Arabidopsis thaliana: one gene and its partners. The protein of the gene in region 1 interacts with the protein of each later gene in a pairwise test. Each region holds a gene or a part of one and is shown in the gene's direction. Other genes may lie near its edges.

Region 1 (7,328 bases):
TTTAATTTTTTTTTTACATTAATTGACTTGTATTCATAGAACATTTGTAGCAAAAACTTGGAAAACAGAGGTTTCTCTCTATTGTTATACTTGTAGGGCTTCAAATTGGAAAAAGAAAAAAACACTGCTAAAACGCCATCGTTTTCGAAAATTAGTCATTAGAGGCCCACGGGAACACGATATATGGGCCTAAGTTTCGGTCAATTCTATATAAGAAAATGACAATACTGTCCTAAATAATAGAGGCACAGAGACAGAGAAAAGCTTTTAACTTACTGGTTTTACAACTGTGAGCTGATTTCTGATGTGCCACTCTATTAAAAGCTTTTAACTTATTGAATTCATTAGTTTGTTTGGTTATTTTTCGTTAATGTGAAAAAGTTTCTGCTAGAACCATTAGCAGGAAGATCCGTTTGTGATATCTAGAGATTTCTGATGGCTATGAGACATTTGTATCTATCTTGATAAGATTGTTATCTGAGTATAAGCTGTATGCTCTTCGTGATTTTCCTGCTAATGGTTCTAGCAGAAACTTTGGGCTTGTGACAAGGCAGCCATACAATGGAATGGAAGGGAAGCTGCTTCCTTAACTGAGCAAGGTGCGATTTTATCTTTAGTGCACCAAATATGATTTACTTTTCTTTCATAAGGTGTTGATGAAGTTTGCAATGTGTATTCGTTTACAGCTCTCGATTTAGGTTTGTTTTGTTTTCAGAAATAAGAACACAAGAAGAAATGTATTAGCCAATTTCGTTTTTCAAATTGTGTAAACTCTTCTTCATAAGAACTCCAACTTTACAAAACAAAATAGTAGTTTATGACGAAACACTTTTCTTACCAGAGTTATGTAACTACATTGAACACCGGAACAATTAAACTATTGTAAGCTGGTTTGAAAAATAAACACAGAGTTATAATCAGCAACGAAGCCTAAATGAGTCCAAGATGTTTGCAATGTTGCTTCCGTGAGATCTACGCAAGAGACGGATAAAAGGCATGAGCTTCTGCACCAAACCCCAAAACAGATCCATCCTAGACATCTTGGTGAATCTCAGAGCCTTGACCACCACGAAATTCCCAAACTCATTCCTCGCCAGCCTCATCAACCTGTCTCCATCGCAACCCAAAAGCTCCACAACCACCACAACCATTGACTCCTCCACCTCCAAAAGCTTCTCCACGATGTAGCTTCCATACTTCTTAAACGATAGCTCAATGCACTGACCATAAAGATTAACGGCGATGTTGTGAATGCAACGCGAGTCATACAGTGTAAGCACATGTTGGACCACAAAGTTCCCTGAAGCATCGTTGCTTAGCCGGAGAGCGTTGGATGCGACCAATTCTAGTAGCTGATCTCTGTAGTAAGGATCGTCAGCGTCGGTTATGATATCATTGAGCGCGATGCAGCCGTGCTGGTCACACGCTAGGTCGAGAGCGTGGTAGAGAATGCGCTCGTACAATGCCTTTTTCATCACCTTGTCGAAAACGACCATGGCTCGTATCGTCACGTAGGATGCGTATTTGTCGGTCGTGATGTGGAGGAAGCGGCGCAAGATAGCGGCACAGAAGAAGGCGTCCACGTCATCTGATTTGCCGAGGAGCTTCTGCACGCGTCTCGAGCCGAACTTGGTTGTGACGATCGACATGAAGTAATCGGAGTCAGACGTAAGCAACGAGGCCATCCTCTGAAGCTCTGTTTTGTCTGAATTTGAGATCATCTCTTTAAAGTAAGACACACCATCGCCGTCAGTCATTAGGTTGAACAGAGCTGCGTGCAAGGGCGTGGCGGAGGCGCGTGGGGCGAATCCAGGAGGAGGAATGGAACCGGAGATTCCTTTAGGGTTTGGTAAAGCATTGAACATGGTCGACATTGAAAAGGGATTATCAGCGACTGCCATTGATAAATCTCTTGATGATCTACAGAAATTTCTCTAGAAAAGGGTTTAATCAGTTTGTGTGATTTGGGAGAAGTATGAGAGACTTGTGAATGAGAGATCTGTGGTGATGCGTAGAGTATTTATAGAAAAGTTAGGGCTTTTGTTTTTCTAGTTACAATTACACAACTCGGATTACTACTAGGAAAAGGAAAAGGAAACTTATTTGGTGGAGTTTCCTTTTTGTTTTGTCAATTTTCCTTTTTTCTTTGCATTTTCGTAACTGTCATGATTTTAATCTATCTTTTTTTGGTGTGTGAAGATAATAATAATCTATCTGAAACAAATGGAAATATGTAATTTGTTTTGTTGTAAATCGACAATAATTTAACATGTCGATAATCTCTAAAGTCTAAACCAACCCCTCGCAGTCCAAGCTTTTGATTTTGTCCACGTCACTAATCTCAGCATGCGTAAATTTATCTGGTCCTACTTGACACGTAGGTTAGTTCTGCCACGTCATCAAACTCCAAAATAATATCTTCTCTGACCTTTTTGTTCTACCACCTCCCAAAAAATCCCAGTCTTCTCTTCCTCTGATTCTCTATCAAGTTTTTTAAATTTTCTTTCTTTTTATTCTATTTTAGTAGCAATTTGGTTCTGTAAAGTTGTTGGTAAAAGAAAAATAGATACGAATCAAAACATTTTTGAATGATTAGGTGATTAAATGCTAAGCAAATCAGATTAAGCAAAAATCTGTTCTTTTTTGGTTGTAATTTGGTTTTTCAAGTCAGATATGGTGAGAGATTCTGGTGGTGGTGGTGTTCATCAATGGATTATGTGAAAAAGGTTTGCTTTTGTTTGTCTTGTCGCTTTTACAATCTGCTGCTGTTTGAATTTTGTGCTTATTTCATTAAGTATTATAGCTTAGAGCCTTAGAGTTTGATTTTGTATCTGGTTCTGTAGAGTTTATAAGAAATTTGAGAAAGTAGGAGATCTTTACAATCATCTAATGAATAAAAGAAACTGTGTTCAAAGTTTGTTAACTACTTACCAAGTACTGTGATAATTTTCCATTGGAACATTGATAGCTTTTGATTTTAGAAACAACAAGTTTCAGATTGTTTTCTAAAGCTGAGTGTGTGCTACTATTGAAATTTGATTTGGCTTGTTTAGTTTTTCTTTGGACAAGTTTGATGATTTATCCAAATTCAGTTTTTTATTTTTTGGTTCTGGTGTGAGACTGTGATCTTCTTACGGAATGTTGCTTTTTTTTTTGTTTCTCGTTTCTTATTGGGCTGAGGTTTTGGTGAAGGGATTAGAATAAGTTTGGGGAAAGAAGAAATGTGCAAGTGTTATGTCAGTGTAGAGGGGAAGTTTCTGCAGAATCTTAGCTGTTACTTGATGCTGCTTCTATTCTATCTTGTTCATGGAGGCTGGTCTTGACACTTTCATGAGATATTAGTATTCTAAAAATGTGTTTTAATAACATTGAAACTGGTGATGAAGTGGAAACCGAGAGGCAAGTGTTTGGTTCATCTGAAGAAGATGAATTTCGAGTTGAAGATACTGCTAGAAATACCAACAATGTACAGATTTCTCAACAACAGCAGCAACCGCTAGCTCATGTTGTGAAGTGGGAGAGGTATCTCCCAGTTAGATCGCTTAAGGTTCTTCTGGTGGAGAATGATGACTCAACACGCCATATTGTTACTGCCCTTTTAAAGAATTGCAGCTATGAAGGTTTTCTTATATTGAATTGATCATCCTTGTTTAGCAATCACATTTTTGCTTTTGACTAACAGTTGTAAATTTGGAAACTTTTTGTCAGTTACTGCTGTTCCGGATGTCCTTGAAGCCTGGAGAATTCTAGAAGATGAGAAAAGTTGCATTGATCTTGTCTTAACAGAGGTTGACATGCCTGTGCATTCAGGAACCGGTCTGCTGTCCAAGATTATGAGCCATAAGACACTTAAGAACATCCCCGTCATAAGTATTTACTCAAATCCTTGATTAAATTTTTGTTTATCCAGCTTCAATATGCCATGCTCAGTTTGTGTAACTCAAGATGTGATGTTTCTTTTTGTAGTGATGTCATCACATGATTCTATGGTTCTGGTCTTTAAGTGTTTGTCGAATGGTGCTGTTGATTTTCTCGTGAAACCCATTAGAAAGAACGAACTAAAGAATCTTTGGCAACATGTCTGGAGAAGATGTCACAGCGTAAGAGTTCTGATTTGGTTACCTGTTTTACAAAAGTTACTCTGTGTTTTTTTCTTACTTATGCGTTTATTGATTTACCAGTCTAGCGGAAGCGGAAGTGAGAGTGGAATACATGACAAGAAGTCGGTGAAACCTGAAAGCACCCAAGGGTCAGAAAATGATGCCAGCATCAGTGATGAACACAGGAATGAAAGTGGGAGTAGTGGTGGTTTGAGTAACCAAGATGGTGGGAGTGATAACGGGAGTGGAACTCAGGTAATCTGTTCTATGGCTATAGATAATAACAATGTCTGAATAAATCGGTTTATAAATTTTTGATTGGTTTTGCATTTATAAAAATATGTAGAGTTCTTGGACAAAAAGAGCCAGTGATACTAAGAGCACCTCGCCTTCAAATCAATTTCCCGATGCACCCAACAAGAAAGGAACCTATGAAAATGGATGTGCACATGTTAATAGACTGAAGGAGGCTGAAGATCAGAAGGAACAAATAGGTAAGAACGCAAATTAATTAGTCAATTAAAATGTGAGTACACTGATCTTGTGGAACAATTCCTTGAGATTCTCTCTGATTTACTTTAATTCAAAACAATGACTTTAGATGATATTGTATTAGGCACGGGATCACAGACAGGAATGTCTATGAGTAAGAAAGCTGAAGAACCAGGAGATCTTGAAAAGAATGCAAAGTATTCTGTTCAAGCTTTGGAGAGAAACAATGATGACACGCTGAATCGCTCTTCTGGTAACTCACAAGTAGAAAGCAAAGCACCTTCATCTAACCGAGAAGATTTGCAATCACTCGAGCAAACTCTGAAAAAAACAAGAGAGGATAGAGATTACAAAGTCGGTGATCGAAGTGTGTTGAGGCATTCAAATCTCTCTGCATTCTCAAAGTAAGTTCTTGACATTAACTGCAAATGAAATGTCGAACCTGTGACTGATTTGGAGTTATTGGTTCTCTTGTGATATGCAGATACAATAATGGTGCTACTTCTGCTAAGAAGGTAACTTTTCATGATGCTTGGCGCTGTCTTTGAAATTTATGCCGGTTTCATCAAAAACTTTGAACTTTTGCTGAGTTAGGCTCCAGAAGAAAATGTGGAAAGTTGTTCTCCTCATGACAGTCCTATTGCAAAACTGTTGGGTTCGAGTTCAAGCAGTGACAATCCTTTAAAGCAGCAGTCTAGTGGAAGTGACCGATGGGCACAAAGAGAAGCTGCTTTGATGAAGTTTCGCCTTAAACGTAAAGAGCGATGTTTTGAGAAAAAGGTAAGCTCTAAACAAGCTTAAGCTCTTGTTTCCTGAGACGAAACTAACGTTTTTTTTGGTATCCTTTAGGTTAGGTACCATAGCAGGAAGAAACTAGCTGAGCAACGGCCTCACGTCAAAGGTCAATTCATTCGCAAGTAAGTTCAAATCCTTTCCAAGATTTCTCCCTCTAGATGTTTCGAAAAGTATCCTGATATAGTAATGTACTCACATGGAGTCCTTTGCCTTTAGGAGGGATGATCATAAATCAGGAAGTGAAGACAATTGAACAACAAAATTGGTATAGAAGAGAGATCCACCTCCAATATCTGAAGAACAGAAGAAAATTTCACAAAGTGGCATTTTTTTTTTTCCATTTCCAAAAACAGATAGTAGTCTTGTTTAAATAACGTCATTACTATTCTACAAACATAATAATGTCGCTATAGTACTTCTTCTCTGAAAACAATAACTCATTAACATTTCAATAAATAATGTTACTCATTAATTAGTGTGTGTGTTTTATGAATATAATTTGAGTATTTAATTCTCTAATTTTTTTAAGAATTATTAGAGCGCATAATCTCCCGTCTATATAAATATCCTCCGGCGAATTCTTTTAGTTCTCATCATCCAAACCTCTCTCATTCTCTTTCTCGCTCTAGTTTTCTCGTTGAGAGTCTCTTACTCTGTTTAATTACTTGTTTCCGGGAAAAAGATTCTCGGGAAAACAAAAGAAAAAAATCTCAAGAAAGATTCATCTTCGTTGATCGCTACGATGAAACGTTTCTTATGCTGTCTCAAAGGAGGAAGCTCAAGTAACGCAGCGCAAGGTAACGACGAGAACGACGAAGTAGATGTCGAGCGCCTATTTGGGAATAACGAGCGCCTCAATCATCTTTGGAGAAATCATCTCCGACTCCCTGACGATCGTGAAGTTGCAGGTTCCGTTTTCGTTTCTCTTCTTCAATCTCTTGAAATCGAGATTTCTTGTTTTCTGGGTTTCTTGTATCTTACGCAACTCTGTATTTTAAGAGTTTCTTTCTTACTTCTTCGTTTTGGTCTCGTCACATTCTTGCAAGTGAAAGTAGTATCTTGTTCAATCTTTAACCTTTGGTAATTCATTTGCAGATCCGACTGCTGCTCTGTTACCAGTATCTCCACCTCTACCTGATAATTGTGGAGAATCATTTCTATGGCGTGAGCTCGTAAACGGAACCATAAACTTCCGGGACGAATTTTATCTCGGCAAAGGCAACTTCGGCGAAGTCCATCGCTGCTATTTCTCAAGACTTAATGTGGTATATAGACCCAAAGGTCATGTCCTTTATGCTTAATAATCGAAACCCAGTTTCTAAAGTCTGAAACTTTTGATTTCATTAGGATGGAGCGGTAAAGGTTCAAAATCCACAGAATCCAACTGGTCATGTTGAGTTCTTGGCAGAGGTTACAACGTTACGTGCAACTAATCATCCAAATGTGATTAGACTTCTTGGCAACTGTTACGGCCAAAGGAACCGTGCTATAATTTACGAATTCATGGCCAACGGAGATCTTGAGCGTCACATCTTTGGTAAAGAAAACTCAATCAAACCCTAATTGATGACTCTGTTTTAGCTTCTAAACCTAATTGATTCTGTTTTTTGTAGCACACAAAACGATGGTGGAGGGTCCGCGACCTAAGGGTCTAACACTACCAATTAGGGTTTTGGATTGGTACACGAGGATGAAAATTGCTGTGGGTGTAGCCAAGGGCCTGGTTTATCTACACGAGGAGCTGAAAGTGATTAACAGAGATGTCAAGGCCGGAAACATATTACTTGATGCAGATTTTGTTCCGAAGCTGACAGATTTTGGATTGGCGACTAAAATCGTTGAAGATGAAAACGGTGTTGAGCAGCAGCAACGGATCATTCCGATGAAGGCATCTATGGGATACATTGCACCGGAAGGAGAGATTTCCTGGTTGGTTTCGAC
Region 2 (6,131 bases), on another chromosome or scaffold:
AAAATACGGATACTCTAATTAAATTTTTGAATGTAACACATTAAACGCATAATACTTAAACTCATAATATGCCTACGTGATAGACTGATACTATTGAAAGAGATATAAACTTTACTGACCGTATATAATTTGGTTATTTGACGATTGGTTATTTACAAATCTTACATTACGAGCAAACATATACATGGGTATTCTGAATCTTGATATTCAGTATTGACTACTATTCAGGAACATAAACATAACTACTATTTTCCTAACTAAACAAGTAACATGAATACTATGATGAGAAAAGAAGAAATGTATAACTACAAAATATAGAAATCTCCAAGGCCAATTATAATTAATAAGGTTGATATTAACAAGCAACATATATATAAGAATCAGGGTTCTTAATTTTAGTTTTTTGTTGTGGTTTTTTTTCGTTGTTGTCTATTTTAGTGATTGAAATTCATTTAGAGGACTGATTGTCAAAAAAATAAAAAATAATCATTTAGAGGACTTGGATGAGCAGAAGCAGAAAATTAAAAAAAAAATAAGCATGAGAAAATAAGTAAGCAGAAATTTGGGTGACCAAGAAGCAGACACGTGCAGTGGTCTGGTAAAGGCAACAGTGATCGAGAAGTGAGCAAGTGTCCGTTAAGACAGCGACACGTGCTCTCGAGACCGTCGTGAACCACTTGCTCTACTTCTTTCCCTTTTTCGTCATTTGTTCTTAATCGCAGTTATTGAATTCCACAAACCACATTAACTAATAACTAATCTGTACTTATTAAAGTTAATAGAGTATGGTGTAATACCACTTGACTAAAAAAATACTACTAGATTATTAAAATTGCAAACGATTTGTACTAATTCTTGAATTAAATTGTGCGTGTTTTTTCCATGAAGTTCTAGTGATGTGATGTGGGATTGACATAGTGTAAGTTATTAAAATAGGGGTTTGGATTTCTTTATCAATATGATTTGTTAGGTGGAAAAGAAATGTATAGGTTTTAAAATAGTTTTCATTCTTCCTTAAATATCATTATCCCGGAAATTTAGTTATTTCTACTTTAAAATAGTTTGTTTAATTTTTAGATATTTGCTTGGATTATGTGCTTACTTTGATAATTGTTTTGCATTGTCTCCAAAATAAAATTTGTTTTTATATTTTTATTAGGCTAGTACATGTTATGGTTAAAAATAGAAAAATATCATAAAAACTGCTAAATTTAGACATTTTCTCATATAAAATTTTTATTTTTTTTGTTCTATATAAAATCCCAAACTTTTCAAATTTGAACCCGAGCAATGGCTGACTAAGACCTATACGATAATTTAGTTAAAAAGGTCGTTGACGACATATTTTTCATTTGATTAATTTTTGAAATTCACACATAATAGTTACAATTTTTCTAATTTCTAAGATTCATAGTATAAGTTTTTATCGTAATAAAGATATTTTTTTGGTAAATAACAATTAACATTGTTATGATACGGACAGTATATATATTTCCATGTAGCATTTTTTTATAAAAAAATTTCATTAACATAAGCAAACTTTAAACACATAAACAAAATATAAATAATTTACTCACATATCTAAAATTAAAAGACCTCAAACCAAATAGATAATAAAAAAACAGAGGAAGGATTCGAGCTTTATGCTCAAGAGAGAGGGTCGAGTTTACTCTGCAAAATGTTCTGAATATACAATATTAATCATGTCGGAGAACAAAAAGACTAAGAGTGTAGGCGAGACCGCGAGAGTTCCTTTTTTAAAGCAAGTAGATAAAAACTTGGAAAACTAGCTTGAGAATGAGAGATATGTTTATATTGCGGTATGAATCTTTTATCTATCTAAATCTATGTTCCGAAGGAATTGGTGGAAAACCATGAGCTTTACATGTAAAGAATGATAGACCAAACCTATTTTGAAAACATAAAACATGTAGCATTTTTTATGATCGAAACATATCATAGAGTAGATTATTGAGTATTAATCGAATTCTATTTCTATGAACAAACTAAAATCCTAAGGACACTTGGACAAAGTGAATTGTTTTTTTGTTTGTTCTCCTCTCCTACATAAATATACATGTGACATGAGATAATATGATTTCTCATATTCACGCATTGATTTGTTTCTAACATTTCTATAGCATTTATGTTCACAACTTCTTGATATAATAGCTGCCAAAAAAAACTTCTTTAAATATTTTCTTGTGTTTTTATTGCCAAAAACAAACGAAAATATCAAATAATTTTTCTCACCTGAAATCAAATTACTGAGGATGATAATTTAATACAGATATTTTGTAGAGGACCGTGGCAATTCCGTGAATAAGTAATGTAATGAAGGGCAAAAATGGAAATAAAATCAAAGTTTATGCCCAATATCTCTCTCCCCATCTGATGATCACTCCTTTAAAATCACCATCAAAGAAATTCCAATTTTCTCGGATTTTTATTTCTTATATACAAATCCCTAAAACCCTATAGCCCTCTTTCTTCGTCACCTACTACTACTAACTCCAAGCTCAAGCTCCTCTGTTTCTTCTGTAAGTCTCAATTTATCTCATCGAATTTTCCGAGAAACAAACAAAAACCAATCTTTTTCATAGAAAGAATCTGAATTTCGTGTTTATACTTAATTCTGATTCCAAAAAAACAATTCTAGATCTAAGATTTTTATTTCTTGATGAGAATTTCACTGTAGAAAGAAGTGTATTTGTTCCTTTAATTTGCTTTAAAATTTTGGTTTCATATAATCTCAAAGCCAAGAGCTTGACACCTGTGATCTGCATAGAATCCAGAACACATCAATAATGATTCCTTTTTAAGAATTTTTAAATTGATTTAATCTTCTTGTTGGTTACTATGAAACAACTCTTTTTCTTTCATAATTAGAAACACCAAAATCTTTATATAGAGAAGAAAAGCTTAAAACTCGATTTCTGCATTTTTTGTCTTCTTACTCTTTAAAGCCCTCCATTGATAATCGCTTCAGCCGAAAGCAGTTGATTCAGCTTAATTATTTATCATAGCTTCTGATTCTTCTTCTAGCTCCTTCTTCTTTAATCACGATCATTAACTTTAAACCCGTTTTATCAATTGTTGTGATATGTCAGATCTACAATGAGTAGAGCATAAATTCGAATCAGAATAACTGATATCTTAATTATGTGTATATATGAATGAAAGTCATCTGTAGAAAAAGTCGATAAGGATGTAACATATATATATATATATATAAGCATTTATGTATATATATATGTGTAAAGATTTGTTCTTATGAGATTGTTTCTTTGTTTTTGTTATTGCAGGCTTGTGGTTAAAAATCATTTCAGACACAGTGCTTTTGATGACTCTCTGCAACAAACAACAGCAGCTGCAGACAAAGCTTATACGAAGCTGTATCTACTGACTTTGATGGTGAAATATCAAAAACCCTAAATTAATTTTAAAAAAAAACACATTTTTTTTCTTCTTTTGGTTTTTCCTCTGAGGGTATTCATCATCAATGCTTACAAAGTACAGTGGGTAAACAAAACAAAAACAAAAACCCATTTTTTTCTCCTTCTTTAAATCCCAAACCAACCCTAAAGTTTTGATTTTTAATTTTGGGGGTAACCAAAAAAAAACAAAACCCTAATTTTTTTTCTTTAGTGATGAGATTATTGGTGATGATGAAATGATTGGAGATCTAATGAAGAATAACAACAATGGCGACGTTGTGGATAACGAAGTGAACAACCGGTTAAGCCGGTGGCATCACAATTCTTCCCGGATAATTAGGGTTTCACGAGCTTCCGGTGGTAAAGATCGACACAGCAAAGTCTTGACTTCTAAAGGACCACGTGACCGTCGTGTCCGGTTATCAGTCTCCACCGCTCTTCAATTCTATGATCTTCAAGATCGGTTAGGTTATGATCAACCTAGCAAAGCTGTTGAATGGTTAATCAAAGCTGCTGAAGATTCAATCTCTGAGCTTCCTTCACTCAACAACACTCATTTTCCGACCGATGACGAGAATCACCAGAATCAGACATTAACAACAGTTGCTGCTAATTCCTTGTCTAAATCTGCTTGTAGTAGCAATTCAGACACGAGCAAGAACTCTTCTGGTTTGTCTTTATCAAGATCGGAGCTTAGAGATAAAGCTAGAGAGAGGGCTAGAGAGAGAACAGCTAAAGAGACCAAGGAAAGAGATCATAACCACACTTCGTTTACGGATTTGTTAAATTCCGGTTCAGATCCGGTTAACTCAAACCGGCAATGGATGGCTTCAGCTCCTTCTTCATCTCCAATGGAGTATTTCAGTTCGGGTTTAATTCTCGGGTCGGGTCAACAAACCCATTTCCCTATTTCAACAAATTCTCATCCTTTCTCATCAATCTCCGATCATCATCATCATCATCCTCATCATCAGCATCAAGAGTTTTCATTCGTTCCCGACCATTTGATATCACCGGCAGAATCCAACGGCGGAGCATTCAATCTTGATTTTAATATGTCAACACCCTCCGGCGCCGGAGCTGCCGTCTCCGCCGCATCAGGTGGTGGCTTCAGTGGTTTCAACAGGGGGACCCTTCAGTCCAATTCAACAAATCAGCATCAGTCATTCCTCGCTAATCTACAGAGGTTTCCAACATCAGAAAGTGGAGGAGGTCCACAGTTCTTATTCGGTGCACTGCCTGCAGAGAATCACCACCACAATCACCAGTTTCAGCTTTACTATGAAAATGGATGCAGAAACTCATCAGAACATAAGGGTAAAGGCAAGAACTGATGATATTAATTATTGCATCTTTGGTTTTGTTCAAATGCTCATTTTGTATGTTTATCTTTGGTTTATTTCAAAACAAATGTTAATCTCTTTCGTTGTCTGATGTGTGTTAGGGTTTTGTTTTATGTATTGAGGGTCTTTGGAAATCTTTTTGCATTGTGCTTGTAATGTTGTATTTGTGATAATAGCATTTTGTTTGTGAGTTTATAATTGAATTTTTGAATGTTATTTTTGCCATGTAATTGGTATAGTTAGCATTTTTTTTTTCTTTAGTAAATTGTTTATAGTACGAAGATACTGTTTCTTGGTATTCATGAACAAATGGTAGGTCAAGGCAATAGGGCGATCCTTTTAAGGTACTAGATTGAATCAAATCAAATACTCAGAAGAATTAAATACAGAAATTAAGAATTTTCCCAAAAAAATAAAAAATACAGAAATTAAGTGAAGAGACAAAAAAAAACTTGTAAATAAAAATAGAAAGAAAGAAAATATACATAATAATCAGGGAAATAAATAATTTTGATAGACAAAACTGAAAAATTGAGGGTAAGGCCATTATGCATTGAAGAGAGTGAAAATCAAAATGAATTGTCTCCTGTTGTGCTCTATGTTTGGTTCCCTTCTTCCTTAGCATCATCTCTCTCCATATGTATTGTTTTTATAATCTATCTATCTTATGAATATATCTTCTTCATTTGACAGCTGTTGTCTTCAACAATGGCTATTCCCAAATTTTCATGATTTTATTTCTTATGATCTGTTTATATTATTATAAGTTTTTTTAACTTTTTCTTTCATGGGCTACTTGATCTTCTGCACCCACATGGCTAACCCATCTTTTAGGGTACTAGACAAAGTATTATTAAATTCATTCTTTTAGTTGTTTATTAGAAAACTTTCAACTTTTGTGTGGTTTTGGGATTTAGAGTAAAGTTGTTTTACTTGTGATTCATGTGTGTTTGAGGCTTAGGTACTTTCAAGTAATTTCCAAAAGTGAGAAAGATAATAATATCTTAAAAAACCTTTGATTGGGAGTCCCAATATTATATTGGCCTAAAACATTAGAAACAATAGACATTACAAAATATTTTAAATAACACAAAAGTGTTTGGAGATAACCATTTTATTATGAAAACACATAATTTTGTAGGTTTTTAATAAATATAATTTTTGAATATAATTATGTAACATCGCAATTGGCAAATGTTTATTGATACTGTTTTCAACAATTGCAATATATTATTGATTTTATATAGTTTATATTTTATTATTATTATACTTATATTGACTTCTATATACAGTAATTATGAATTCATAATATATAAGTTTGTATCAACACTTGTGTATATGATTTTTTCTT
Region 3 (5,855 bases), on another chromosome or scaffold:
ACCAATTGCTCACCATTGGTTTGAATATTTCAGAGTAACCAGAGGAACCTTTGTTTTCCTGAAACAGTTCAAACTTAAGACCTCTAAGATTGGAGTCTTAGCATATTTACTGCAGAAAATATATTCAGGACTTGTGAAAGAACTTCAAAAGCAGGAAGGACCCTTATTTTCCAACTAATCACAACCATAAATAAATGGAAAAACTCAGAAATCTGATCTCACCAAACTAAAACTAAGAGACTAAAACATGAAACATGCCTGGAGAAGGAAAAGCTTCTGTGTTGTGATGAAAGAGAACACTTGAACATTTTATATGAACCACAAAGACACAAATAAGAGAAGACTTCTTGTCATTATAATATTAGGATTATACAAGACAGTTTACTTAGAAGGTGATCAACCACAACTGAAGAAGAAGAAGAAGAAGAAAAACAAAACAAAGATTACCGACTTTATCTGTAATGGTCACCCACTATGCTTGAGGACTAAGTCACGTTTTACCAAATCTAAACATTGTTTAATCGAATAAGAGAGGTAATGCATGGTCCCACAGACCATGCTTCTCCTTATAAAATGCATATACATCTAGTGTAGAGAACAAAAAAATAAGTTATCATACTCTAAACTTTGAAAAGTAACTTGGATTATAATATATGTACACGCAAAATCAAACATAAAAATAATAGCTTTGTAGTTTTTGAATTCATCAATGGAGAGGGAGACAAGGTCAGTCACAAATGCGTGTTTAAAGGTTAAAAAAAGTAACTTGGAGTTTACTTAGTCAAAACTCAATGAAACCTTATCAATTGCACCAACAGAACATTTAATCATTATCACAAAATGCATCTCAATCTTGAACCAGAATACTAAGATTTTGCGTCTATAAAGTGCGTGTCTTGTCTACATCTCTAACAAGCAAGATAAAGAAACATGCAAAGGAGCTGTTTTTACCTTGTGAGTGAGTTGTCTTCTTCTTCCTCCTCTAAAGGGAATAATGCGGTTCCAGAAAGAATCCTCTTGTGTCTCACTCTTCGCACTCCGAAGCTCTAAACTGCAAGCAAACATCCACTACAGAATTCAGCAATGACAACACAGATTCGAAATTTTGCAATTGTTTTGTACTTCTCCATTAGTGACTTTATCAATGAATGACACAAACCCAAACAACAAAACCAGATTTTGAAAAAGTAACTATTATCTTTTGGGGCACATGAAAAAGGAAAGTAGTCAGAAGTAGTAATCCAAGATGTCACGGTTGAGAGAAACAACAATGTGAAGTTTTCTTCTGAAAGGGAACCCTAAAGAGTGCCGGAATTGGAAACACAACAGTGCTCACCGGAAAACCAAAAGAAAACAAAACGGAAAGATTTGTAAAAGAAAAAGAGAGAGAAATGACAATGTTAATCCCACCCACTTCCTCCTGCTACTGCCTACAAGTTTGGTAGTTGTTTGTTCTTCGTCGTAGTCGTCGTCGTCTTCTTCTTCTTAACTTTTGTCTGAAGGGACCACTCCATTGATTTGGTCCCAAAGATTCTCTCTTTTCTTCTATTCGCCGGTTTCTCAGACTCTCTCTCTCTCGGCTTGGGTAGTTAATGACCGGTTTACCCCTGAAACTTAATTAGGAACCTTAAACCCGCCACGTGGACCTCACACTCCACTTCATCGTAGCCCATTAGTGAGAGACCTTTTCTCCCGGCCCAGAAGGTCATAATGATATTTTGATAACAAATATAATGGATATCTAGCCCAACATTACAAGTAAAGCCCAACATTTAGCAATGATGCACATGGCAGGCAAACTCTCTTCTTTGGATGCTCTGTTTTTTATAAAAACCATAATCTATATTTTCAACAGAAGAGAACATTGTAATTATGCAAATATTGATTCTCGTGTTTATGAATAGGGTGCGTCAAAACTTTTCTTTCAAATTTTACAAATGCCAAAGTGTCATAAAACAAGCTACAAAAGAATGTTTATGGAGGAGAGAAAGAATAAACTTTGGGATGAAAAGAAAAAAAAACTAAGATAATTGTGAAGATGTTAGTTAAATGAAATTGAGAAGATGGGCAAGGAAATAAAAACAACATTAAACCAAGGCCACTAGTAGAGTTTTGAGAGTTGCTTTCAACTACTTCTCGACCACCAATTTTTTAAATGGCTGGTGACATTTGGCCCACCCACCTCTTTGTCTTTTTTTTTAATTCCTTTTGTGGCTCTTATTTTTTCCCCCTTTTTTATTTATTTTAGTTTATATTTTTACTTTTAAAAATAGTCACACGTCCTAAATCTTAGCACATTATGTTGCCTAAAACTATTTCAGCTGCCGTCAAAAAAAGGAAGAAAAAAAATCAGATATAGGATCCAAGAAATCATATAAAGATTGTGACAAAAAAAACTTTTTCACCAAAACAAAGGAAACAAGACAACGAATGTGTTTCAGGGAGACACATCAATGACCTCCCAGATGGCATTGAGTCTTTCGTCTTCACTTTTTAGTCGATATCATTTTTCTTTTTGTCTGATAATGGTCTCTGATATAATGGACTTTAAACAATCTTATAACTCAAAACCATATCCACTATAAAAGATTTGGTCTTCCCAATATTTTCTCCTAAATCATACTACACACATTTCTTGTTAGGTACTACTTTAATCATAATTTTCGTTAGTCAAAACACACAATTAAAGAAAAAAAGTAATTGATTGGAGAAATTTACTCAAAGTAGTAATTAACAGATTTTGCCTTGTCACAGCAAAGTATGCTTATTTGATACTCTCGGCGCGTGGATTTGGTCGTCGTCTCTTCTGGTCTCTCAAGCTTCTCCTCCATCGTAGAAAAAGATTTTAAAGGAGCGATTTTTATAATCTTAAATAATTTCTTCCCTTTCTTCTTCTTCTTCTAGTTCCTTGATACCAACGCGTAATCCTAACCCTTAATCTACTTCCTCCTTAATTAATCAGAGGTTTCTACTTATTATTTCCACTTCTCATCTCTTTCAATCGCAATCTGAGTTCTGGCTAAAGATTTTGTCTTGAAGGTGAGATTCATTGTTCCGAATAGAGTGAGAAAAAGACTTATAAGATTGAAAAAGCAAGATGCGGATTTTGTGCGATGCTTGCGAGAACGCAGCCGCAATCATCTTTTGCGCCGCCGATGAAGCTGCCCTTTGTCGCCCCTGCGATGAAAAAGTAACTTCTCTCCCAAAAAAGCTTCCTTTTTTTCTTTAACTCTCCTCTCTATCTATTGGTTGTGCTCTGATGGGTTCGTCAAAGATCAAGTCTTTGTTATCTCTGTCTGGGAATTCTCAGTTGATTTGGACCTGAGTTGATCTGGCTTTTCGATAACTTTGAGCTAAAGAAATAAGATTTTTGAGATTTGGTTTCTAGATTCTTAGGCTCTTCACATGAGATTAGATATTTCGAAGTGTAGTGAATCCGTCAAAAGAGTTCAAATAGTTGAAACCTCTTCTCTCATTTGGTGGATTAAGATGGTTCAGTTGATGAATTTACATGTTTGATTACATGAGTGTTTGTTGCTGCGGTTTCAATGATTCTACTCTGTCATGTACATTGCAGGGAACGTTTTGTCTCCAGAGTTTGCATTTAGTAGTATTAACTTCTGGAGAAGAAAATAATCGATTTTCTGCTCTTTGCGCTTAATCCTTACTTCAGTTAGATGACTCTTAAGGGTAACACTTTATAGTCCTTCTCGAGTCATTGGTTCATCCTTCTCTACTGCAATAGCTCTTAGTAGTTTTCGGATTTTGATCGGAAATGGATTACTTCAAAGCTTTGTAATGTTTTCTTCTTTCAGGTTCATATGTGCAACAAGCTAGCTAGTCGGCATGTACGTGTTGGTTTAGCTGAACCAAGCAATGCCCCATGCTGTGATATATGCGAAAATGCACCTGGTATGATCTCTTTACAATGAACTTCCCACACTCGTGTTTAATGTTTTCGCATATGTACATATATTGAAAAATGAAGAGAAATCTTTTGTCTGCAATGTTTTTTGTTGTGAGAACAGCCTTCTTTTACTGTGAGATAGACGGTAGTTCTCTTTGTCTGCAATGTGACATGGTAGTACATGTTGGTGGCAAGAGAACACACGGTCGGTTTCTTTTGCTGAGACAGAGAATCGAGGTTTGAATTAACTAATTGTTTCTTTCTCACGCAGACACACAATCATTTTGAGTCGATTTCTTAGTTTTAATAGTCATCTTGTGTTTATCGTTTCTTGTAGTTTCCAGGGGATAAGCCTAAAGAAAACAATACGAGGGACAATTTGCAGAACCAAAGAGTCTCTACAAATGGAAATGGTGAAGCCAATGGGAAGATTGATGACGAAATGATTGATCTAAATGCTAATCCACAAAGAGTACATGAGCCATCATCAAATAACAACGTATATGAATCCCTCTATCCAACATATTCTCAATCTTTGTTTTTGTATTCTCAATTCGAATGTTTCTCAATGAGCAGGGGATTGATGTAAATAACGAGAACAATCACGAGCCTGCAGGCCTTGTACCAGTTGGACCCTTTAAACGAGAGTCTGAGAAGTGATAAGGTGAGAGAGAGAGAGAGAAAGAGACTCTTTACTCTGATTCAAAAAATCAGTTTAAGAAGAAGATTGTAAAAAGTTTCAAGAACTGGAGATTTCATGTCCGTTTTTTTTCCTTCCTTCTGATTCTTAGATCGTTGCTGGTGTAACCGAGCTTTGTTGTTGAAGAGGGAAGGTTTATGTTGTTTGTGCATTATCTTAGTTTTAAGGAATTAGCTTAAGTGCTCACATGAATGTAAGCTAATCTCTGAAATTCTAAATAATTTTATTTGTTTCTGTTTTTTTTTCTTAATAAAATCCTCTGGGAAATGGACGAAAAAGAAAGAAGACGAAAAATTGGGCCAATTAAAAGATTAAGCCCACTTAATATGCAAAGGCCCCATGAGGCTAAGCGTTGTCCTTTGAGAATTGTAAGCTTCGTGGAGACCATTTCCTCCTGTATCCTCTTTGTTCAAAATTTAAAATTGGTTGATTATGGAATAGTTGTAGTTTCAAGTTTAAATAGATCAAGAGAGATAGATAACTTCAATATAATAGAACTTATTAAAAGGAGTAGCTAACGCAAAGTAAGCAGAGAAAATAATGATTTGACATGATTAATAACAAGCAAACTCAAAAACAAATGTGATTAAAACATCTGCTTCATCTCTTTTTTCACAGCATCATCTCTTCAATAGGTGTACCCTTTGACGAACATGCCCTCCTTAGCCTCTTCGGACTCACCCTCACCGGTGTATTTTCCGAGCTGAGCCAACGAATTGGCCTTGGCACGGGCCAAGAGAGTGGTCTGAGCTGCGTTCACGTTCTCGGGTCTGCCGCCCCATGTTTTCAGACAAGTGTTCTGCAACGCACGTGCGTAGGAGAAGGACACGTGCCATGGGTTTGGTGCCTGGTTCATTGCGTTCAAGTTGAGTGTTGCCTCCACCTCCGACTGTCCTCCGGACAAAAACTGCAAATAACAAAAAAAACAAGAAACAATGTTACTTCTACCTCAAGCAACCAATATTAGGCTTTGCCTCATAAAACACCTTTTCGTTGTATTGAATCGAACAATCTTTTAATTGTGAAGAGAATGAGAGAAACTTGCCATGATTCCGGGGACTGCGGGAGGGACTCTGTTGCGGAGGAGCTTGAGGGTGTAGGCGGCAACTTGTTCAGGAGTAGCTCTGTCTTTAGACTCAGCTCCGGGAGTCACCATGCTCGGTTTTAGGAGGATACCTGTGGGTAAAAGTTTCCTTAGTGATTTTTCAGACATTATAAGTTGTATTAAGAGAAGCACTTTATAACGAA
Region 4 (4,537 bases), on another chromosome or scaffold:
TTTAATAAATGCTGATAGATCAAAGATTATGGAAGTTAGCACCAGGGACAAGAAGGAAGTCCAAGGACACATGAATAAGGAAAGCATGAACCTGTATATGTGATATCAGCTCAGCTTCTTCTTTAGCAGTCAGAAGTTGTTTTGTCTCAGGTCCCCACAAGAAGAGCTGAAGCGCATCATCATTATCAGCCCCTTGTTTATACTTTTTCTTCGCACTAGTTTTCTGAGGAACATAACCCTCATCGTCCACATCGTTTGATTTTGGAGCCCGTCTGTTCTTTGCTCGTCTCTCTAGCTGCCGCTTCGATCTTACTATGTTTCCCTTTTCCGGTAAGGACATAGAAGAGCTAAAACCAAACATCCAGAAATACAAATCTTTTCACATTACAGCCCACAAGTAGCAGATTGATAAGATACACAAACAAGGTTAAAAAAAGCAACCTAGTGGAGAGAGAATCCTTGATGTTGTCAGATGGATTTGCTTCAGTGTCATCAACTAACAATGCAGCTTGTTTTGAAGCTGATAAAGCCTTCTGAGCTAGTGCAACCACATCACAAAGCTCTGCATCAGCTAAAGGAGACACAACTGCCGGCAATTTCGTTTCAGATGTTAAAGGAGATATTAATCTGCAAACAAAAGAAAGGCTACATCATTCAGAAAACTCAAAAGGTTGTATGAAAACTGAAACTGGTGGGTTTAAGAGAGGAAGAGACATTACAAATTCCATAAACCAGTAGAGTGAAGAAGTTGCTGTTCAAATTTCTCATCTTCTCGAGATGAAACCAATTCATCAAACTGCCTCCTCTCCAGAGTCAACTAAAAATGCAAGGAACCCAATCGCATTAAACAAGAGGACTAGAAAGTTGACAACTTTATGATTGATTCAATCTCTTAGGACAATATTGCTGCTAATAAAACACACCTGGGATGTTCTATCGTCTCTTAACGCATGTGACAGAGGCCTAGACTCTTCCCGTGGCTCCTGTGAGAGAACCGACGCAGGAAAATGTCGAGATAGAGAATTGAGATGACGTGAGTTAACAACAGGAGTTGTTGTTTGATCATGAAGCATCACTACTACAGAAATACCAACAAACGAACAAAAACAAATCAGAAAATGCTAACACAAACTCGTATACATACACTAATTTCAAATTGAAATCCATGAACTTCAAATTCCAGTAACTAACAGAGACAAATCCAGCAAAGACACAATATTTCTATATGAAGAGTAGCTGAATAAGAAGTACCAGAGGAAGGAGAAGAGTAGCTGCTCTTGAGATGAGTCTTTGTCTGAAACGAAGGAGATGAAGAAACCAAGTTCCTCGTAGCTTCCATTTCACAGAATCACCAAAGAATAAAAGACTCTGTTTTTGCTTCCACGAATGGCTAAGGAAGAAGAAGAATAAGAACATGAGGCTACTCTACAGAGCCATGACGAACAGATAAGGCGACACACACACTCCCAATTTTTTTTTTGTAAAAATTAAAACTTGTTTGTTGCCATGGAAGTCAGATTTTGTTCTCTCTCCCTTTTTTTTTTTCCTACAGAGTGGATCATGTTGGGCCTTATATTGGGCTTAAAAGCCCAAATTATCCAAAAGTTAATTCGAATCATCTTCTTCTCCCTCCTTTAGTAACCCTAAGATTCTCTCTGTGAATCCTTGTTCATCGTCACTGAAATTAGTTTACAAAATCGACGAATTCGGAGATGATTTTTCAGAATGTGTGCAGAAATGAGTCCAACTTCAACGCTATAGCTTCCGAATCGCGTTCCCAAACGCAGTTCGGTGTTTCGAAATCCTCCTCGAGCGGCGGCGGATGTATCTCCGCCAGGACTAAAGACCGTCACACGAAGGTTAACGGACGAAGCCGTCGAGTTACGATGCCGGCTCTCGCCGCCGCTAGGATTTTCCAGTTAACGCGTGAGCTCGGTCACAAAACTGAAGGAGAAACCATCGAATGGCTTCTTAGTCAAGCTGAACCGTCGATTATTGCCGCCACTGGCTACGGGACTAAGCTCATTTCGAATTGGGTTGATGTTGCGGCGGACGATTCCTCGTCGTCGTCGTCGATGACGTCGCCGCAAACGCAAACGCAAACGCCACAATCGCCGAGTTGTAGGTTGGATCTTTGTCAGCCAATCGGAATTCAGTATCCGGTGAATGGTTACAGTCATATGCCGTTCACAGCGATGCTTTTAGAGCCGATGACCACGACGGCGGAATCTGAGGTTGAGATCGCGGAGGAGGAGGAACGTAGACGCCGTCACCATTAGTAAAATTAGGCTTTTGATTTAGAGTGTTAAAATTAGGATTTTAAAAGTTTAGGAGGTAACAGATAAGGATAATTTAGTCAAATCATGTTGTTTAGTTTGGTAATGTTATTTTGCCACTAAACAACTAATAATATTGTTTGATAATCTTATTATTTGGTTTTGGAAACAAATTGATTAAAAAATAATGCCATATGTTTATAATGTTTATATTGTTTTTCTCACTATTGATTTGTGATTTTTTAGTAATGCTTGAAATCATTAAGCAACACTATTTAAATAAACAAAAATTTCTCATGAAATCCAAAGAATCATCATTTGTCATGCTCCTCCAATATAGTTATTTCTATTTTTGGAAATAAGTTATAATTAAGAAACCAATCATTTTTCTCACCCATTTTTTTTTTCATTTGCTAGAAATCTGGACCTCCTTCCATGATGACCCTTCTCAACTCTCTTCTTTCACGCAAGTCTCTCATTTTTCAACTTTCCAACTTTTGATCTCAACGTCAACATTTCAAGATTTTCTAAAAGAGAACAAAAAAAATCTACAACAAGCTCGTTAGCTTTCTTTTAATCCTTCATCTCCATTTTTCAAGAATATACTCATTGGTTTTCTCAAGACATGATAGAAAAACACAAGACATCTCTACGGATATTTCTATTGGTAGCTTCCAATGTATCTATTCTATTGTTAGGTCAGAGGGTTCAGATATTTCGATTCGGAAGGTTCTGATTTTAAGGCAAGACTTTTGATATAAGAACAATGAGAGTTAGGGTTGATGTTTGTTGGACACAACACATCTTCTTGTTCTTTGTTTTTGGCTTGAGTTTTATGTCATTTGCACTATCTCTGGATGGAGATGATTACAGCAAAACAGGGAACCCAAAAGCTCTTGTTTCGGTTACAAACCTTATCTATACTCGACTTCAGAATCTAAAGACTGTTTTAAAGGCTGACGTTGATCGAGATTTAGGTTATTGCATCAAGAATTTGTAAGTCTTTTCAAAATCAGCTAATGTAGTCCCATGTTTGAATTTTACATTTTTCTCATATCGTTTGTTGATAATTCAGGAAGGGCGATTGGAATGAAGCATTTAATTTTGATAAAAATCTGGACTTCTTAAGCAATTGTGTCAAGAAAAATGATGGTAAACAACATAAAAAGGGTTATGTTTTTATATTCAAATACTTGAACATTGAGATTTAATGGTCTTGTGATATGCAGGTGACCTCACACTTAGACTATGTTCAGCTGCGGAGATAAAGTTCTACTTTAGTAGTTTTGTTAGAAGAGATGAAGCAACAACGGTTCATGTAAAGCCTAACATCAACTGCAATTTAGCTAAATGGGTTTCCGGATGTGAGCCTGGATGGAGTTGCAATGCAGATGATGAAAAAAGATTTGATCTCAACAATGGAAAAATTCTTCCATCTAGAACTCGTAAATGTCAACCTTGTTGTGAGGGTTTCTTTTGTCCACAAGGTCTTGCTTGCATGATACGTAAGATATCCATTTACATACATATATGTTATATCAACATTATAAGTACTAAAACTTTAATCTAACATATTCATTGTTGTTTATTCTCTGATTTATGTAAACGAAGCGTGTCCGTTAGGCGCATATTGCCCGCTTGCCAAGCTTAATAAAACAACAGGATTTTGTGAGCCGTAAGTTGTTAGCTTTCTAGATTGAGTAAGTTAATGAAAAATCTTATTAGTGGATGATTTAAAGAGTTTTTACATTGCAGATATAACTACCAAATTCCTCCGGGAAAGTTGAATCATACATGTGGTTCTGCAGATAGTTGGGTTGATGCTGAGAGTAGTGGTGATATGTTTTGTTCACCAGGTTCATATTGCCCAACAACGATTCGAAAAGTCACTTGTAGTAGTGGGTATTGATTCTTTTATCTCACAACTCTTGTTACTTTTTGAAAATTTGTTTCATATATGAAATATTCATCATTAAGGATGTAATTAATGTTTTTATGTATTACTTAGACATTACTGCAGACAAGGTTCTACGTCACAGAAACGTAAGTTTCTAAAACACTAAAACCTAAGAAAATGAATTGTTTTATAATATCATTATCATTCATTAATTCTCTTTTTGGTGACCGTTTTAGCATGTTTTAAGCTCGCAACATGCAATCCGAATACCGCAAACCAAAATATTCATGCCTATGGAGCGATCTTAATTGTAAGTTGTTAGTTAATTAGAATACATTTTGCTTTAAAATTTGTTGGAAATTAT

What was found.
Region 2: the proteins of PRR3 (region 1) and TCP2 interact in a two-hybrid assay, tested with the Arabidopsis thaliana proteins (one study listed by BioGRID).
Region 3: the proteins of PRR3 (region 1) and BBX19 interact in binary tests that used the Arabidopsis thaliana proteins (3 or more experiments, as listed by UniProt).
Region 4: the proteins of PRR3 (region 1) and AT2G37000 interact in a two-hybrid assay, tested with the Arabidopsis thaliana proteins (one study listed by BioGRID).

Annotation. Positions count from the first base shown.
Region 1 is NC_003076.8:24,196,527-24,203,854, reverse strand, and holds PRR3 (pseudo-response regulator 3), read left to right. Parts: upstream 1-2,490; 5' UTR 2,491-2,726; exon of another isoform or gene 2,727-3,192; 5' UTR 3,193-3,352; coding exon 3,353-3,620; intron 3,621-3,708; coding exon 3,709-3,870; intron 3,871-3,966; coding exon 3,967-4,355; intron 4,356-4,446; coding exon 4,447-4,594; intron 4,595-4,716; coding exon 4,717-4,996; intron 4,997-5,076; coding exon 5,077-5,107; coding exon of another isoform or gene 5,108-5,140; exon of another isoform or gene 5,141-5,186; coding exon 5,187-5,372; intron 5,373-5,441; coding exon 5,442-5,509; intron 5,510-5,603; coding exon 5,604-5,640; 3' UTR 5,641-5,857; downstream 5,858-7,328. Other genes in the region: PUM18 (pumilio 18), read right to left, coding at 918-1,901; AT5G60090 (Protein kinase superfamily protein), read left to right, coding at 6,130-6,295, 6,483-6,652, 6,735-6,924, 7,001-7,328. UniProt on the Arabidopsis thaliana protein: Controls photoperiodic flowering response. Component of the circadian clock. Controls the degradation of APRR1/TOC1 by the SCF(ZTL) complex. Expression of several members of the ARR-like family is controlled by circadian rhythm.
Region 2 is NC_003075.7:10,161,852-10,167,982, reverse strand, and holds TCP2 (TEOSINTE BRANCHED 1, cycloidea and PCF transcription factor 2), read left to right. Parts: upstream 1-2,399; 5' UTR 2,400-2,540; intron 2,541-3,305; 5' UTR 3,306-3,673; coding exon 3,674-4,771; 3' UTR 4,772-5,061; downstream 5,062-6,131. UniProt on the Arabidopsis thaliana protein: Plays a pivotal role in the control of morphogenesis of shoot organs by negatively regulating the expression of boundary-specific genes such as CUC genes, probably through the induction of miRNA (e.g. miR164). Participates in ovule development.
Region 3 is NC_003075.7:18,158,479-18,164,333, forward strand, and holds BBX19 (B-box type zinc finger family protein), read left to right. Parts: upstream 1-2,609; 5' UTR 2,610-3,097; coding exon 3,098-3,190; intron 3,191-3,396; coding exon 3,397-3,492; intron 3,493-3,577; coding exon 3,578-3,610; exon of another isoform or gene 3,611-3,690; intron 3,691-3,815; coding exon 3,816-3,912; intron 3,913-4,028; coding exon 4,029-4,144; intron 4,145-4,244; coding exon 4,245-4,406; coding exon of another isoform or gene 4,407-4,483; coding exon 4,484-4,567; 3' UTR 4,568-4,843; downstream 4,844-5,855. Other genes in the region: FBA2 (fructose-bisphosphate aldolase 2), read right to left, coding at 5,236-5,514, 5,653-5,783.
Region 4 is NC_003071.7:15,538,678-15,543,214, forward strand, and holds AT2G37000 (TCP family transcription factor), read left to right. Parts: upstream 1-1,568; 5' UTR 1,569-1,712; coding exon 1,713-2,279; 3' UTR 2,280-2,571; downstream 2,572-4,537. Other genes in the region: SIGF (RNApolymerase sigma-subunit F), read right to left, coding at 1-11, 92-347, 442-627, 720-817, 924-1,078, 1,252-1,339; NAP12 (non-intrinsic ABC protein 12), read left to right, coding at 3,043-3,272, 3,352-3,428, 3,506-3,781, 3,888-3,951, 4,032-4,178, 4,285-4,319, 4,410-4,483.